Drosophila melanogaster: one gene and its partners. The protein of the gene in region 3 interacts with the protein of the main gene of each other region in a pairwise test. Each region holds a gene or a part of one and is shown on either strand. Other genes may lie near its edges. The genes, in order: rtp, CG42565, CG14926 and heca.

Region 1 (3,644 bases), on a different chromosome or scaffold from region 3:
TTATTCGTGAAATAATATTGTCTCATTAAAGCTCTCGGATCTACTAAAACATCCCAGTTTGAGCACTGCCGCTGCCTTGGGATTCGACATCATTGCCGCCGAGTACCCAGAATTGGATTTGCCTGTCGTTAAATTCCTCTACAAGCAGAAGCTTTTCCACACTATCATGGGAAAAATGGGCAGCAAACTTGCCAACTACTGTGTGCACCACTTGAAGGCTTTTGTCTACGTACTGAAAGCCACGCCACAGGCGGTTATTAAGCTAAACATTGAGCAGCTCGGTCCGCTGCTTTTCAAGAGCTTGGAGGAGCACAACGAGGCGCAGTCGCTGTGCATTGCATTGGGCATCTGTGAAAAGTTTGTGGCGCAGCAGGACACGTATTTCCAAGGGCATTTGGCCCACCTCATACCCAGCTGTCTGGAGCTGTCGAAATACAAGGCTCAGCATACCATGGTAAGTTAAACATGCACATATTATTATAAAGATTTGATAGTTAATTGAGGAGGTTTCTTAACTTGTAAAGGAAAATGTCGAACACAAAACTTAAACTCATTTTCTTTCTTATAGCAAGTGCGAATTGCGGCGCTGCAGCTGCTCTACGATGTGACAAAGTATCCTACCTTCGTCCTGTTGCCCCACAAAGTCGATGTTACTCTGGCCCTGGCCGCCGCCTTGGATGATCCCAAGCGTCTGGTGCGGAACACAGCGGTGAAGGCCAGGAATGCGTGGTACCTGGTCGGTGCGCCTAGTCCGAATTAGCAGAGAAACAACTCCGTTCTTGTTAATATTATAATCCAATAAGCACACGCACAAATTCTTCATAATTTTCTTGTTGTTTTTATTAGGGTGCGTTGAAGAATTTTTGATAAAGAATTTGGAAAAAGCAAAATTATAAAGTAAACGCGAAATTGTATGCATTTTATATTACTTAGATACATTTACGAACGTTTATGCGCAAATGTATTAAAGTTTAAGATGTTAAGAAAGAAATGCTTATTTCTTTTCTTAAAGGCACCTTTTTCTGTTTTATGACTTGAGACTCTTACAGTCGGTTACTAAAATTTGTATTTTTAAACTGTACGTGTTTATCAATACCAACTGGTAACCAATCTGAAGTGTCTGTTCAGTATGGGTGTTCGCACTGGGAACGGGCCATAAGAGCGCACTTTTGTGCACGCTGCACCACCTCGGGACATCGACGTCGTCTCATAAAGCGGCAGTCTTGAAAGAATCCCTCGTTTCTGGGAAAGCCGTGCGTGAAGTCCTGGAACGTCAGCAATCCCAGGCCCCAGATCTTGCCGCCTCGAAACTCGCCCTCGTACTTCATTCCATCGGCTCTCCAGAAGATCCCATTACCATGAAACCAGCCCTGATGAAACTCGCCTTCGTATCTGTCTTAAAAATGTGCAAAATGAATCATCATATACAATTTTCTTCACTGGATGCAAACCCTAGGTAAATTATAGCTAAACCATTTCTGATCAAGAATATATATACTAGCATTTCCTCTTACTCCCCGAGTAGTGGCTACAAGAATAGTTTTCAAGTGCTACAATATTTCGTTTAGGTTTACATCACTAATATTATTGAAACTGACTTTGCTCCATCCGCGAACCAGAGGCAGCCCACTCCTTGACTAAGACCCTCCTGGAACTGCCCATCGTAGCGGGTGCCATCGGCGAACTGCAGATGCCCGATGCCGTGCTTTTGGCCACGCTGGTTCCACTCGCCGATGTAGCGACTGGCGTCCTCGTATCGCCATCCGCCCACTTTGACCGCCCCTGCGCTGTACTGGCTTTGACCCTGGCCCTGTTGGTGGTGTCCATGCTGACCCTGCTGGTGGGGGTGCTGTTGGTGCTGGTTCTCGATTCGGGCCGTGGTCACGCCCACGCTGCTCACTGGGTAATGATTTTTACGCAATTTTGTATCTGCATCCTTTTGTCTGTGTTCACTTACTGTCATCATCGTAGTCGTCCATGGCCATTGCTCCGCTACCGCCCGCGATGCGCTTCAAGCTGCTACTGAGCTGGCTGGTTCTGCACCAGAAACACTCATTTTCTATGGCTTCCCACGGTGCGACGGCCCTGGTCTAAATCTAATTAACATATTGCACTTCTACACACTGACAAAGTGTTTGAAAATCAATCATCAAAATCACTGGGTCAAATGTTCCAGTAATTGAAGCAGTTATAAATATTTCTTAACAGCCAATAATACTCTGGCACCCATATTTAATCAAACCATTTTAATCGAATAATTTGAATACATCTCACATAAATTCAACATTTTTCTTGATCCAACCAACCATCAATCTTGACCAACTGTTGCTGCGGCCAGAGCTGTCATGGATTCAATAATAAACCCAACCAGGTTTTAATTCTTGTACAATTTATTGTTATTTTCAATTAAAGCGGAATATGTGGATGCAGACTTTTTCGTGAGATTACAGATGTCTGAAATGATTATACTATATAGGCGAAGCTTTGAAACTCAACGACTCCTTATCGTGACGGTTGAAGAACATGGAAACAGAATTAATTGTACACAAAGTTACTGGCTAAATTATTAACCTAGATATAGTCGTATGCTTGTATATAATTGGACTCAAAGCAAGTCTAGGCCAGCACAGCCGAAGTGGCCATTTCGCTGACGCCGCAAGTGTTGTCACCACGATAAACGCGATAATAGCCCTGCTCTCCCCAGCGCGGACCCCACGAGTTCTTCACAATCCAGTAGGGCAAGGTCTTGTGGAAATTGGGATAGTCGGAGACGCCATACCCCACAACTAGAACACCGTGGTCGAGGTTTTTCTTGGAGCACAGGGCCTTCCACGGATGGGAAACTCCGCCGCGATAGAACTGCATAGCATTCGCATTGATGCCTAGAGAAATGATCTGGTTAAGTGGGCTTTGGGGTTAATTTTCTGCATCGACTTACCGATCGAAATGGGACCATTGGCGAGAAGCCACTCCTGCATGGCGGTCTCATTTCCCTTCGGCAGATCCACGAAGCCGGCAACCTGAACGTGGGACAAAGTCCTGTTGAAGTGGCACTGATTCTTTTTGGCCTTGTATGGGTACTCAGCCTCGTACTCTAGGCCGCCAATATCCTTAATGGCCCTGCGGAGGAATTATTACATAAGTATCTACATCGTAATGTTCATTCCCTCGTAACTTACTTGTAAGCATTGTCCATGAGGCCGCCGTTGCAGGCACTATCCGTGGTATCACAGTCCAGCAGCTCCTGTTCGGAGAACTCTTTCAATTCGCCCGTTTTCACTGCGTACAGGCCTTCGATGTTGCCGGTCACACTGAAGGCCCAGCATGAACCGCAGGATCCCTGATTCTTCACCTGGGTGACAGCATCCTTCTGCCTCCAGTCAAACTCCTTCGGCAGTTCACCATGGTAAGCCGGTACGACAGCCGCCGATCCGCCAGTGGCCTTTGCCTCATCACGCTGCCAGAGTCCCGTGCGTTCCTTGTATTCCGAGCTGGTCATATCAGCAAACTCCGTGATGCCGTACTTGGCGCTGCCCATCTCGTTGGCGTTTAGCTCCTCGATAGTCTTCAGGTTCTGACGGAAAATGCGCAGGCGCATCTGGCGCTCGGCGGTGCTTACGTAGCGACGGCCAAATCGCACCTGG
Region 2 (6,124 bases), on a different chromosome or scaffold from region 3:
CTGTCGTCCTGTATGTCTTTGCTGAGTTCTCCCCCAAGCAAAAGTAAATTTTTTGGGGAGCGGCAAAGCAGCGGTAAACATCTAAACAACCAGATATTACCCAATTAGACCTGACTATAATAGTCCGTTGCTCATGTTTGACCCAATCCTAGGCTTGCATAATATATCTCTCCCGTCATACTTACAATCTGTATGGGTGGGTACGTTGTCAAAATAAATAAAGTAGAATTCCGATTTCACAGAGAGACAAAAAGTTAATGCGCACTGTTTGGGCTGCGAAAGTGTTGTGCGGTCAGAAGTTTAGGGCGCGAAGCGGGACACTACACTTCCAAAAGTATTTCCGTTAGCAACATTATGTTGCCTAACTGGGAAGTGATATTTATATACATCCTTAAAATTGATTACAGCGTATCCCTAGGCTGAGTTAAATTAAAATCCTTTTATTCCATTTCTTAAGAACTAAACATTTAGCAGAAATTCAAATATTTTACTAAATATTCAATTATAATGCAAAGAACTTCAGTGATTTCATTTAATAGCATGAACAGTAATCTTGAAGCATCTTAGCATCAATTTAAACTGTGCCAACATGCCGGTTCGTCCCAGCAACATTTTACCGGTTCAAAACAGTTTCATATCAACATTTATTGCTGGACACAAAAGAGTTGTGCTACGAAAAAGTTTCGGGAAAAGACCGCCAAAAAGTACACAAAAACAAAAAAAAAAAACGTATGAACAATTAAGTTTCACATTATTTTTTCTGCAAATCTAGTTGTCTGCAGCAACAATGTAGCCAGATACCCAGAAACAGAAATTAAAGAAAATTCCATTCGCTTCAAAATCTATTTGTTTATTTTTTCGCTGTCAGCTTATTTTGCTCACTAAGCAAACATATTTTTATGTATGTTAAGTGATGAAGACACCACATTGACGCCGTCGATACATAAGGAGATATGAACATACATACATATATGTATGTATAGTTGGTTATGTATATATATATACATATATATAAAATGAAATGATATGAAATCGGCGAGTGTTTTCGCTGCGTCTTCAAAACGAACCCAAGCAGGAGTTGCAGTTGGGACAGTACTGGGAGGTCTTGTAGCAACAGTTGCAGCAGCAAGGGGCGCAGACGCAGGGCCAGCATCTGGTGGATAGAGATGGGAAATAGAGTATATAGCTTATAAGGCACGATCAGCAATTTCTCATAGCTTGTCCAGGAAGAAGCAAAACAATTGCGGCCACAGATATAGCAGACTAGTAAAAACATTTCTTTTTCCGTTTGCTTACATACACATTATGTATGTACAAACCTTTGTTGCTATACTTGCAACCATAAATGCGATCTACTTACAGGAATAGGCAGAGCAACGCCGCCATACAGTAAGTTGATCCGGTAGGATGGTGCTCCACGCGAAGGCGAATCCGAGCGTTGCAGTGGGGACAGATCGTTCCCTGGCGGGTATTGTCCACCAGCACTGTCGTCTGGTGATGCATCACGCTTACGGGCTGCAACACCGGCATGGTTTGGGCCATCACGGGTATCACCGGATTGGGATGTGCGGGCGACGCCAGGTTCTGCTGCATGACGTCCTCCGCTGGAGGAGCGGTGGCGAATGGATCCGAGTAGGGCGGCGGGGAGTCTACGCGCTTGTAGCAACGCATGCTTTTCTATACTCTTCAAATCACACTAAAAATATCAACCAGTTGCTTACAGCTGCGAACGAGCACTGATATAATACTGAAAGCTTCCGTATATGTATATCGATGACAGTTTCATTAAACTCAGAACTGCCTTATCGGTATCGGTATTCAATTGATTCGCTTTCCTCATATTCTGGGTATTTATCCTAATACGAATATAAAATCTATCTACTGGCACACTAGGTGAGGAAATTATGGACCAGAAAAGATTACTTCATATGTGCAGTGAGAGTAGTAGAAACCATCCGTCATTAACAAAAAGAACTTAAATTTAAAACGTTATTATTTTATGTATCTGTATACATATATGGCTAATCTTGATTAAGTCTTGACATGGAAGGCATTTTTGGCAGTGCGGAGACACAGCACTTGATCAAATGCTATAGCTCCCAATGTGGCATCCACAGTTGGGACAGTAGTGCTGGACACTCTTGCAGTAGTTGATGAAGTAGGGAAGGCAGATGAAGGGCCAGCAGCTGGAGAATCAGGTTAGCAAAGTTAGTAAGCCCGGTGGTATCCTGACGCCCCACTCACCAGCAGATATACAAGGTCAGAGCGCACATGTGGGTCTTGCGGGTGGGGGACGTGGCCAGACTGGTGGTGACCTCGCCCCTGCAGGACGGACACCTCACCCTCATCGGCTTGCAGCCCACAGCCAGTGGATGTGCGCCCGGCCCCACTCCGTTCAGGGTGTAGACGGGTATCTGGGTCACCACCACCCCATAGTTTGGCTGCGTGGTTACGGTCACCATTTCCGTGTCGGCCGGTTCTGGAGCTCTGCCCATCCATGTGCTGCTCATGTTTGCGGCGGGGCATGCACTGAAATAGCCCGCCATTTAATGACAACATTGCTCTATCGCAATCGTTATCTTTTCTGACTAATCGACAAGTACTTTTTAGGTGAAACCTACTATGACTATGACGATATGGAGGGGTACAAGAGGAGTCGGCCAGTGCAGTACCTAATCGATTGACATTCGGTTCCAGTAGCTCTGTGCCATTTGGCCATTTCCAGTTGTTGGCTTGAGTAGGTGCCAGAAGGGTTTATGTTTCCTAGACAACAATTGATATAGTCTTAGCTATTTATGATATTTATGATCCATTTTACTGATTACGGTTTTTAAGCGATAGTAAAAAGTAAAAAGATTGTTTTAAAATGGTCATTAAAATGTTGGCGTTGGTTTCTCGTAATGATCGATCGAAATTGTTTAGTACCAGTACAAAATGTAGTGGAAAATACTAAATAATGTCAACATTATCATAGACATTTCTGAAAATATTAAATTACTTCATAATCCATTTAGCGGAAAGAGTGCCTTGTCCCAAGATATCTTGTCGCATTTCTGTTTCCTGTGTGAGTCTCATGAGTTTAATGTGTGGCGTTCGTACATGTGTATTTACAGTTCAATTTTTCTCGGTTATGACGCTAGTGCTTAGGGTTCTCTATAGGTATATACGTTTGTATGCATAAATAGGCGTTAGTTAGTTAGTTCTCGTAGGTGCCGATGTAGGCGCTGCAGTTGGGGCAGTAGTGGTTGGCATTCTGGCAGGAGTCCATGCAGTAAGGTAGGCATACGCACGGCCAGCAGCTGTGTGGATAGAGTGGAAAACGAATCGATTAGATAAGTTCGGGGAATTAAACTATTAGTCAGAGCACTAATTCCGAATTGGCCTTTACGACGTCTACAGGCCGTAATCAGTCAGTTTGCTTGCTTTCACCCCGTCTTTCCACTCGGATTCGTTATCTGACTCAACTCCAGTTCCAGTTGAGATAACAATGTTTTCACATATTACCAGTACACACAGTCGCAATACCTGTAGAAACCTATTGTTTTTTCCAAGCGATAAGGGGCCGCAAGTGGTTCATGGGCGTAGCTTTTTAACATTTAACCGAGCTATTGTAACGAGTTGGCAATAAAATGGTTATAGAACATTTCTGCTTGGGCGATACGAAAACATATCTAGATTGTTAGGATATCATCTATAGGATATCATATCATCTATGTATATTACTGAATTTAATAGGCAACATATCCGATTTGTATTGCTTTTAAAAATGGTTTACTCCATTTTGCGCAATTTTATAAAAAGGTCATTTGACTGGATTAATGAAGCACTAAGTCCCCCCTAAGATACTTTCGTTGGCCCAAAGCTCCTGAGACCAATCAACATACATACATACATATGGTGGCAAGCAGTGACTTCAGATCAGATGACTAGTGACTATAAGACTCACATGAACAGGCACAGGATGAGGGCCCAGCAGTGCGTCCTGCCGGAAGGAGTGGACTTCACGGTGGTCAGTACTTCGGCGTGACAGGAGGGACAGCGGATGCGGGTGGGTCCACTGCCGATGGGCACCAGGTTGGAGGTTGTGGTGGTCTGGATGATCACCGTTGAGGACTGCGGTGGCTGCGGCATCGGTGGGTACAGTGGTGGCTGGGTGGGGCCACCGGGCTGATAGGTTTGTGCGGGAGTGTATCCGGACTGTTCACTGTACGGTGGAGGCTGCTTGCTGTCCATAGTTTCGGATTATGTTTCTTCTTGATGCAGACTCTGGATTTCCGGCCGAACTGAACCGATCGCTTTGCTGGCTGGCGTTGCACTGAGGAACGAACTTAAACTGTGGCTCCCGCAATACCTCAACGATTGGCTACTATCTTATCGTCGAGAGGTGATAGCTACCATACAAGTGGGGTTTCTGTCGAACTAATAATCGGATACCTCTTTTATTGTGCACTTGATTTAGTGAGCTACAGCGATGCTTCTCCTCCGAATAGGCGACAGATGAGTCACTTGTTTGATAACACCTTTATTGCATATAAAGGCAATGAATAAGGCCAAAATATACATATGTAACATTTAGTACGTGTATTTTGCGAGGAGAGAGTATAAACAAACACAGGTTGTCGACTCGAGTGCTCTCGCCATAATATAATATTTTTGTAATTTACCAAATGCGTGACCGGTTTATATATATGTACATATGTAGATATGATTCTTTGCCAGTTGAAGCATCATCATTCCATTTGTGAAGCCTTTATTTTTTTTAATTATTTATTGGATATTGGATATTAATGTGTAACTTGCTTAATTTGTGATTAAAAATAATATATATATTTTCCGTGCTTGATACTATTTCCTGAAAAACCTTATGAAATGTCTTAATTATTCAAGTCAAAATAAAAACAGACTTCGATCTTCAATGGGTTAAGATAACTGTGTATATTTTTTATAGAAAAAGCTCCATTTACCACCCACTCGCCGGCAGCTTTGTGGAAGCTTTCCTCATGGGATCTACGTTCAAGTGCAGCCGTTAACATCGCAACCATGAAAATAGTGTTAGGCAAATACGGGGGCTTGACAAACAGATGAACAACTGGTTTGTCTAACTCCCCCCTCAGCCCAAAAAATATAATAATAAATCCCCCTCGCCAAGCGATAGCTGTTTGACTTATGTTTCTTATGTTTCAATTGTAAAATAACCCAATTTATAGGCAAATAGAAAACCCGAGTCGAGTCAGTTCAACAACATGAGCCGTCAGCTAAAGTTCCACCTTCAAGCTCCCGACGACGAGGAGTTCGCAGCGGATCTGGTGGAGATTAACCTGAACCCCAACTGCGGCCAGGTCAAGCAGAAGTCGGCTCAGGCCTTGGACCAGCTGCTCCTGGCCACGCCCCCACACAGAGGCTATCCCTACGGCTATGCCGAGGACTCCGAGCCGGATACCTACTTCTGCCGGAAGAGCAACTCCACAGGCCAACTGGCCGAGAAGGTATCACCTCCGCCGCCCGCTGCCACCAACATTAGTTGCCTCCGCCAGATGTACTGTCCGGAGTGCCACGAGCGATTGCACGAGCAGGGAGTCCGCCTGGAGCGACTCCTTACCATGTGGTGAGTGCAAGGCCAGGACATTTCTTTAAAGTAAATTCTTAGGATGGAATATAAATAAGATTATTTAATCGTAGTATAGGGCTATTAGGATAATAACAAAGATCGGAAGTATTTATATTTCTAATTCAGATTATTTCCTTATCCATTTCCAGCTGCTTTGCCCTGCTGCCCATCTATCCCTGCTGCCCGAGGCGCTCCACCAACGATTGCAAGGTCATCTGCGGCAAGTGTGGTTACCTCTTGGGGGCATGGAAAAGACAGTGAGATGAAGGGATGGGGGTCGTGGGTTGGGGCAAACGGAGTGGGTGCTCCGCTTATAATTGTTTGTTTTGTTTAGTTTTTAAGCACTTTTTGTTGACCTTGCGGCGAGTGATGAGCGCTGCTGAGACTGAAGAGCCGAGTGCCAAAAAATTGTTGATTGCTGCATGATTCTCTCAGTGGTTTCTCTTCAATTAGATCTCTTTGGTCAGATAGATCTCTTTTTCGAATTTCACTGCCTCGGGATTCGCCAAAATGTTT
Region 3 (3,572 bases):
ATAAATTAGTTCTTCCGAAATGGGCGCTTGTTAAAAACATAGTGGAAAATCGAGGAAAAAAAATGCAACGGAATGTTCGATGAAAAATGCGTTCGGTTTACCATTAATCCGCTGCCCTGATCCAGGGCGACAGATCATTACACACGCGCGGGACTTCCGAAACGGGAGGAGTTCCTCATTTGGGGACATGCGACAGGCGAGTGGCGATGTTTAGGGGCCCCCCGAAATCGTATGTATATGTAAATTTATTAATAAAAACTCCCAAAAAAAAAAAACGGATGCACATTGGCCCCTAAAAATGGGAGGGTGGGTGTGCACTGCTGCAGTTGTTGCCTGTCCGTAATTTATAGACCCGCTGCCGAATGACATGCTAACTAATAGTATCATCATAATTTATACATACAAATACATTGCATTTGTTATTTATGCCCTTGCGCCACCCCTCGCAACTAAAGCCACCCCCCACCCCATCCCTTACGTGATTTCCATACACAGATCCCCGATGACAGAGGTCACAGCACCCAAAAGGGCAGAAGGTTAGCCGGCGTTAATGGCACCGTTTGACCCTCGGCCATATTTGAATATCGATTACAATTAAACGGTCACAACTATAGATAACGTACACGTGATCGCAGATTGATAAATGTGCCAAATATTTATTATGTGATCAATTTATTATTCTTAAACGGGAAATTTCGAGTTACTTGCTTTGTGAATATACATTTCATGGGAAGCCTATTATATTTAATTTTCAAGTGCCAAATGAGATTCGTAAAGTTAGTTAGGAACTAATGGGCTCTTCTAGAACCAACTACCACGGTGGGATTGCGAAGGGTTCGGATCATTGAGACCTACAAAAAAACGATTTTAATGCGATTCTTCATTAGGTAAGTAAAATGCCTTACCATTCGAAGAGTAGCCTCCAGCTAACCTTTGACCACCACGCATGGAACCAACTCGCATTCCAGCGCCAAGGCCATTGCTCATGCCCATGCCGGAACCCATGCCTCCATCGAATCCCATAGACTCGGGCATGGAATGGCCCATTCTGTTACCCATTTCAAGACCAGGCTCTGAGCCCATGCCCTGTACCGAAGCCGGGCTAATAGAACCCAAAACAGTTTTAGATCAGCCTTAAGATCCATAAAAAAAAACTTACCCAACTTGAGAATGACCGTAACTGGGCTTAAAATTCGTGTACATGTTCATCATATTTTGGTTGTAGGAGGCGAATGGATCACCTGGAGATGCGTTATTCTGGTGCGATCCCATTCCACTGGATCCATGCAAATAGTTTTGGGTGTTCGCTTGACTTGAGTGCAGCCACTGACGACCACCGCCTCCAGGAGGAGTACTACCCCTTCCCATCTGAAACCATTCCATGGTTTAGACCCGGATACCGAAGTACGTAGGCAGACTCACCTGTGAGTAGTTGGGATTTCCCTGACCACCATGGCTGTACTCCCAATTGAATTCCGGACCGTTTTCCATCGTTAAAAAATTTAAAAATTTCAAAAAAATTTCAAATGGTTTTTGAAAAAATTTTGTTGGCCGATCTGTTACCTTACTGAATGCCGGACTAAAAATGAGGATTTCTAATTCGAGCCAACTGAAGTACACATTAATGTGTTTTCCATGCTTACTTGATTTGAAAACTTCTAACTTGTTTTAGTCATGTACAATCTATACGTTTATAATCTTCTATAACAGGAAAACAAACAAAATAAATCATTTCGTTGTCGCATCATGAATATCATTAGCAAAAACCAGTCTGTGTTCTATACTCGCTCTTAACGGAATATTTGAGATCATGCTGAGATTTTGAAATGTTATCTCTGATCTTCTCATATAATCTTAGACATAATAAAATTCAAATTTTGTGCAAACACAGTCATAATAAACATTTTTAATCATCATCTCGAGATTATTAGCCTATTAATGGCAGTTAAGAACAGCCATTCAAACTTATTGAATTAATCATTTCAGTGTCTGGGTGGCTGATTTATGGAATTAATGTCCAGATGCTGGTGATAAATAAATAAATGTTTAAGCAAATGTAGCGCAATAAATACTGATTATTGTTTTATTCTAAAAATGTAATATATTCAGACGGTGTGCTTGGTGAAAGTTGTAAGAAATATAAACCAGTTGGATAGGAAACTACTAAATAAATTTTGTCCGAAAAGGACTTTAGCACTACAAACTAAAACCCATGTTGGGCCACACTTCGGTAGATAAGAAACCTTGTTATCCTTAGCGACTTCCACCTGTACACACCGCATGCCGCACAGCTGTATCTTTTTCCCTGCCTCTGACAAACCAGTTTCCTATCGATGCAAGTTTTATTTATGTTTCTTGCCGATCTGCAGAACAAAGGCCAAAGACTGACCTACAAAGGAGCAGCAGACAATGGCAGATGACCTCATAAATTGCATCGTTATGAGGTTCATAAATAAATTATTGCTTCATATTCATAATGCACTTGAGGCCAAGTGTCGGCATGTCCTTGGACCAGCCAGCAATGGGATCTACCTGTCGTCCCACAAAATGTATCTCCCGAGCCCTAAGATTTATGGCTGGAATGGCAAGAGATGAGGGAACGTTAGCTCTGCTTTTTTAGCAGCAATTTAAAATGCATAAAATATTTGATGGTCCCTTTAACTCAAAACAAGGCATCAGGAAAGGAAACGAGAAGTGCCCTCCTTTGATCGTCATCTCCCTGATGGCTAATCCCATTTTATGGCATTCGTGCGGTCTTGGGGCCGTAAAATTGTTTTGTCACCTGTTGAAAACATTTTTTATTTTTAATTGAAAAAATCTGTTTCGGGAATGCCACGAGCTCCAGAGCACACAGAAATTTCATAAATTTCTTGGCGACCCTCGTCCGGGGGATAAATATTTTTCTTACTCTGGTTTGTCTTTCTATTTTCTCCACCAACATTTTGTCTAATTTTAAACGTATTTAAACGTTGGAAAATATGAATTTCCACCGCTTAAGGTCCATCCTAATTGCTGCCAATTAACACCTTCAATAAGCCCAAATACCATGGGCCCATTTGTCAGGGCCACGGGGGCGTTCAAATGCCTTGCCTTGTGACCCCGGCAAAACATTTTGATTTATCAACTCTTTTTACATTCCCAACACGAGTGCATCGATCAGAGGCGGAGGACACGAAAATAGCTGCATTGAAACTCCGGAGTCATCGGAGTCATCTGCATTAAGATCCGACAAAGACAACACTCGAATCGATTTAACTCTTTGACCCCGCCCACTCGTCGACCCCGATAGATCCAGGTTTCTGACTCGTCCGACAGCCGACATATGCGAGGGTCTATTAAAAAAATTGTTTATGAAAACAAACATTTTCGAGGCAATTAATCATTGGCATCATCGGTGGCGCGTGGGGGAACTTTAGCCATATAGTACCCATCTTCCAATCTTCCATCGACCGTAACCCCTTCATATCGTGCTGCTTTTGCTGCCGTTGATGATCATAATAATGATGATGATCTCCATCTGCAGTAGCTGGCTGAGTGCCTCCAGTTTTCATTTGGAAATCGTTTTATGGTCC
Region 4 (5,220 bases), on a different chromosome or scaffold from region 3:
CAACAACATTAAAAAAAAAAAAAACACAAAAAGCGATCTAATTCCTCTTCGTGTTGTTCTCCTATTCGCATTTTTTTTTTTTTTTGATCGCAATGAAATAAATAATAGTATTCGCTGCTCTGGGAAACGGAAATATTAAAAGTAGGCACAAAATAAATAAGAACAAGAACACATCTGGGAAACATACCATACGATAAATGTCCGCTGCTATATGGCAGCATATAAATTTCAATAATTTTTCATTGCCTATGATTTATGAGTAAAAAGAATGCCAATGAAGAGTGAAGAACTACAGCAGAATAAAAGAAAGAAAGCCTTGACCCACCGAAAGCAACAAAACAAAAGATTATAATATTTTATTCATTCCCTCTGAGTTGATGCAAATCGTCGACTTCCTTAAGGGGAAAATATTCGCAAATTTCTCGAATAAACCAGCGCATTTTATTTAATATTTCTGCAAATATTGTCTGTATTTCGCAGCTGTTCAGTCGTCAAGGTTATATAATCTATGGAACCGGCAAACGAACGAAAAACGGGCAAACAAACGCCTCAATTGTTGATAACACTGTGCAACACGATAAAGGAACGAGAGTATCAATCTGGTATCTATTTGGCATGTTTGTTGATAACACCTGAAGCCACTGGAAGTTTTATCAAAGGAAAAGCTAAACAAAACTTATAACAACTGCAGTAAATAAATTCGAAATATTAAGGCCCCCCTTGTCGTTCAGTGTAATTGATAAAAGTTTTGTGAATAAATATTGAAACGCTTATGTACCCCAACCACATGCTGGGGAATTTCGCCACACAAATTTCGCTTTGTTAAACAAGTTAACCAAGTATTTAAGATGAAATTCTAGACAATAAGACTATAGCTCCTTATAATCTATATGGTTATCATGATGATATCTTGTACTTACCGCACTCGATCGGAATAGAGTTCGACCTCCTTGTTCTTCTGCTGCTGCACAAGTTGCTGCTGCTCGTAGCTGGCCAATGGCTTGAAGTTGCTGATATTGGCCAAAGCAGGCAGGTTATTCTGCTGCTGCTGTTGTTGTTGCAGCTGCTGCTGCTGCTGCTGCTGGGGAGCAATCAGCAGATTCTTGGACAAGCCCAATCCATTTTGCAAAAGGTTGCTGCCGAAAGCTGGACCCAGAGGCTGGATCAGCAGCGACTGCTGCTGTTGCTGCTGCTGCTGTGGCAGCAATTGCTGCACCGGCGACACGGATATCTCGCCACTGGACTGGGAGTCCGAGGGCGAGGTGGATCCACTGCCAGCTCCACTGGAGGATAGGCTGCCAGCCCTGGCGCGCAGGTCCAGGCCGAGGACATTGTTCGTATTGAGGATGTTGCTGAAAGTGGCCAGCGCACTGGTCTGCAGAACGCCGGAGGAGCCGTTGTTGCCACTGCTGCCATTGCTGGCGGTGTTGCCGTTGTTGTGGGGCAAACCCGACCCTATGACGCCCACATTGGGATTGGGCGTGAGTCCGGCGTAGCTGTTGCCGTTGTTGTTGCTCAAGGGGGTTTTGGTGTTGCCATTGACACCAGCACCACCACCACCGCCGCCGCCGTTGTTGTTGTTGTTGTTGCGGTTCCTCTTCTTCTTGGCCTTCTTCTTGTCGTCGTCCTCGCTGAGGCTGCCATTGGCCAGAGTGGGCCGGTTGCCAGACCCGTTGAGGTATATGACGCCCTGGCTGCTCGGCGGCACCCAGTCGAGGTCCTTGCGCAATTGTCCCCTGCCGCACTTGCAGCTGCAGGCCTTCTGGACCAGCTCGTAGCCCTTCTTGGTCCACAGGTGCTGCAGACGCTGCCGCTCCGACCAGGATCGAGCACGACCGTTGGCCTTCAGTGCCTGCAGCACGCTCGCCTCCCACCACTCGAAGCACTCGCGATGCATGTACTGGCCTGCGCTGCAGTTCTCGTTGTTGCACAGCACACGGATGCAGTCCGCCAGGGAGAGCTCGTTCAGGTGTATCAGGGTGTCCAGTTTGCGACAGTCTCCGCTGGGCAGGCAGCAGTGGACCATGCCCCCGCCGCCAACGCCGCCAACGCCACCGGTTCCCTGCATGGGCGCCATTAGGACGCCTGAAGAATTCACGTTCTCCGCGTAGAACTGCAGCAGTTGATGCTGCTGCGTCTGGTGCTGCTGCTGCAACTGTTGCTGGTGCTGCTGCTGGGTGCTGTTGCCGCTGCTGCTGATGTTGCTGTTGCGACGCGGAGCCATAAATTTGTGTTTTTTCCTCTTAATATGCACTCGTTGCGGCGAAAAACTTGGTTGGTTGGCTGGGTTGGCTGTCCTCGAGAATCCTCAATCTCTATTTCGAATCAGCATTTTGCCAACGATTATGAATTTCAAAATATTGCTTGTTGATTTTTTCGCGATTTTATGGTGCGATTTGCGGTCTATATAAATGCTGCTGGCATATATTTATTTATTTTTGAACCGATTCCAGAATATATTTCAACTGATGGTTTTGGCAGATCCAGTGAGTTTTCGTGAATTTTAGTGGGTTTTTGTAAATTTTTAGAAATTTTGCAGACAAAAGTCTGATTTTATACGGAATTTAATTTTTTTGTGTATAGTAAATGCTTGTTATTTTAGCGATTTAGTCTGTTTAGGTTTTAACTTTTCGGTTGCCTTTTTCAATTGTTTTCAGTTGGATTTTCCGAGTGGGTTTCTACCGAGATTGGTATTATTTTTAACTTGATGGGTAATTGCTTTCACTTATTGCTTTAAAAATTGTACACCTCCTTGCTGTGTGTATCAAAAATACTTCGAAAAATTCCCGTCAATGCAGTCTGTTGTGTTTTGCGTAATTTTCTGTTTTGTTGTTGTACCTGAGCTGAGTTTATTGTTGTTGTAGAACTTTAAGTATCAAAAATTGTTTTTTTTTTATTGTTTATCTTCGCTTCGTCCCTATCTCCCTCTCACACGATCGTTCGCTCTCATTCACACACGCGGCGCCATGTTCGGCAATTTTTCACATTTTGCTTCGCTTTCTGCGTTTATTTCTTTGCGCCTCTTATTTTTTTGCCGGCAAACAAAAAGGATTAGAGGATAGTGTAAATTTCCGATTGGTTTTTAGTCGCAGGACAATTGTAAACTGGAGTGTTCCTCTTCGATTTATTCGGTTTTGCTAGTTCTCCTGTTTTCCGTTTTTTCCCACCACGAGCGGCGCACGCAGAGAGAAGCCAAAAAACACAACCAACCAGATCGAAAGCGAAATTCAAACTGTTTTTGGTCTGTGCTTGCTCGCCGCGTTCGAACATCGCGCGTCGAACATCGCTGCCGGCGTCGCTGCTTGGCATTGGCAGCGAAGTTGGAGTTTTCCTCCACTCCGATTTTCCGCACTTCTTCATTCCGTTTTTCGGGGTTGGTGGGTGGTGGTTGGCTGGTTTTCACTTTCCACCACCGCCGCCAACCGCTCGCTTTTCATTCGGTGGAAAACTGAACAGATTTTTGGCGCTAAAATGAGAAATGGTGGGGGAAAATTGCGGAAGGGGCTACAAAAAAAGTGTCTAATTCACTAGAATTTTCCACTGTAGGCCAGAATTTGGTACATTTTCCCACTTTACAACGGAACTTTTGATAGCAGTTACATACTTGATTAGATTAAATGTCTTAAAAATATATGTAGGAGTTTAGACTTTTGTTAATAAGCTTCATTTCCATAGAAAATGTTTCTATCAAGCCGTATTTTCTTTAAACTAATAAGAATAATAATAACATGTTTCTAACTTTATAGCCAAAAAGGAATATATATTTCTCCCTATGTTTTGGTTCCAAAATTAAATGAATTCGATTATTATTAAATAATCTAAATTTAATTATTTATTAGAATTTTTAGATTTTACATCCATTTCATTTACAATTAGGAGCTCTCGATGATTCGCCAAAATTCACTTTCGTTGCGGCTCGAAGCTGGTTCGAATCAAGTTCGAAGCCGGTCGTTTCCCCTCCAACATGTTCGACTGCAGTTGCCATGCGAACGTCGAGCGCGTTGGCTCTGTTCCACATGCATGGAGCGTGCATATGTGTTTGTGCCAGAAACCGGCAAAGTAAACAACATGAAAACAGGGTTGCCGAGTCGCTGGAACTCGAACTTGCAGCGCACTTTTGCTTTCCGTGGCTAATCTTTTAATTCCAGTGGAAGTGGAAATGCCGTTCGATGTCTCCATCTCCCTCTGTCGGAACTGCCGTTCTCTGTCGCACGCTTCGATTGCTGTTATATATTTACATACAAACGTATCTATATAATCCCCTATATATTCGCAAGCACATTTGCACAAAAATACAAATACAATGAATGCATGCGAGTGCTGGCAATAAAAGTGGCAGAGACAAAAAGGAAGAGAATTAAAACATTGAACGAAAAAGAGTTGAAGATACCCTACCTTGAATTAAAACAACCAATTAAAACTTGAATACGCAGACCTATTACTGCTTTCAATTGAAACAAGTATGTACATATGTATGAATAATTGTAATAGTTAAATTGTTGATATTAGTCCTAAGATTACGAATATCGCAGGTAACTTTTGTATTATGACTACTTATTTGTGTTTTGACTGTAGGGTATTAAAGTTGCCACCAAAACCCAAATAAGCTTTCAAACGTAGAGCCTTTTTATTGTATCCTCGCCTTTGTGTATATATGTACATACACACATATAAAAATTCCCGCTGTGTTGCAAAAAAAAAAAGTATGCGAAAACGAATAAGAAGAAGCGGTAGAAATGGCAAAAAACAGGCACGTGTAGAACGAAAAGTGGTAAAGGGAAGGGATCTCGCAACCAGATGGGGTTTTCTTATAGGACTCAGGATCTCAGGATCCGGGGTTCTATTCTTTTGGTAACTGCGGTGCAAAGTCAAGGTCCAATTCCACTTATTTTCGAGTCAAACTGCGCAGTTTCCATTTTTTTCTCTCGATTTTGACCTGCCGGGTAGAAGAAGAGCGAGCAGGAGGGAGAGAACCAGAGGGTTCTGATATAATAATTAAGTCAGTCAGGTAGGCAGATCGGCAGCCATTGCGTAATAGGATCGTACGTACGAGTATATTTAGGTATGCATGTATGTAATTATGTATGTATAGGTTGTTTGTTGTTCTAGCTAAAGGATCGTCGGTGGAGAGGGTAAAAGAACAAAGGAGGGGCGAACTAGTTTGTTGTTGTTGTCATCGCCGCTTTATAATTCTCAAGGATTTCGCTTTGTGTTCTCTTC

What was found.
Region 1: the proteins of CG14926 (region 3) and rtp interact in a two-hybrid assay, tested with the Drosophila melanogaster proteins (one large-scale study listed by BioGRID).
Region 2: the proteins of CG14926 (region 3) and CG42565 interact in a two-hybrid assay, tested with the Drosophila melanogaster proteins (one large-scale study listed by BioGRID).
Region 4: the proteins of CG14926 (region 3) and heca interact in a two-hybrid assay, tested with the Drosophila melanogaster proteins (one large-scale study listed by BioGRID).

The regions. Positions count from the first base shown.
Region 1 is NT_033777.3:5,235,275-5,238,918, forward strand, and holds rtp (retinophilin), read right to left. Parts: upstream 2,042-3,644; 5' UTR 1,986-2,041; coding exon 1,958-1,985; intron 1,900-1,957; coding exon 1,599-1,899; intron 1,393-1,598; coding exon 1,125-1,392; 3' UTR 818-1,124; downstream 1-817. Other genes in the region: Mms19, read left to right, coding at 32-454, 569-760; CtsF (cathepsin F), read right to left, coding at 2,617-2,882, 2,939-3,120, 3,180-3,644. UniProt on the Drosophila melanogaster protein: Plays a role in promoting axonal degeneration following neuronal injury by toxic insult or trauma.
Region 2 is NT_033778.4:22,656,098-22,662,221, reverse strand, and holds CG42565 (uncharacterized protein), read right to left. Parts: upstream 4,322-6,124; 5' UTR 4,234-4,321; coding exon of another isoform or gene 3,947-4,233; intron 3,300-3,946; coding exon of another isoform or gene 3,197-3,299; 5' UTR 2,511-3,196; coding exon of another isoform or gene 2,245-2,510; intron 2,187-2,244; coding exon of another isoform or gene 2,084-2,186; 5' UTR 1,672-2,083; coding exon 1,361-1,671; intron 1,154-1,360; coding exon 1,057-1,153; 3' UTR 833-1,056; downstream 1-832. Other genes in the region: CG13511 (uncharacterized protein), read right to left, coding at 2,084-2,186, 2,245-2,510; CG13510 (uncharacterized protein), read right to left, coding at 3,197-3,299, 3,947-4,233; CG43325 (uncharacterized protein), read left to right, coding at 5,244-5,605, 5,758-5,869.
Region 3 is NT_033779.5:11,341,678-11,345,249, forward strand, and holds CG14926 (uncharacterized protein), read right to left. Parts: upstream 1,642-3,572; 5' UTR 1,492-1,641; coding exon 1,423-1,491; intron 1,369-1,422; coding exon 1,160-1,368; intron 1,103-1,159; coding exon 906-1,102; intron 852-905; coding exon 802-851; 3' UTR 624-801; downstream 1-623.
Region 4 is NT_033777.3:30,275,948-30,281,167, reverse strand, and holds the start of heca (headcase), read right to left. Parts: upstream 3,237-5,220; 5' UTR 2,225-3,236; coding exon 921-2,224; intron 1-920. UniProt on the Drosophila melanogaster protein: Required for imaginal cell differentiation, may be involved in hormonal responsiveness during metamorphosis. Involved in an inhibitory signaling mechanism to determine the number of cells that will form unicellular sprouts in the trachea.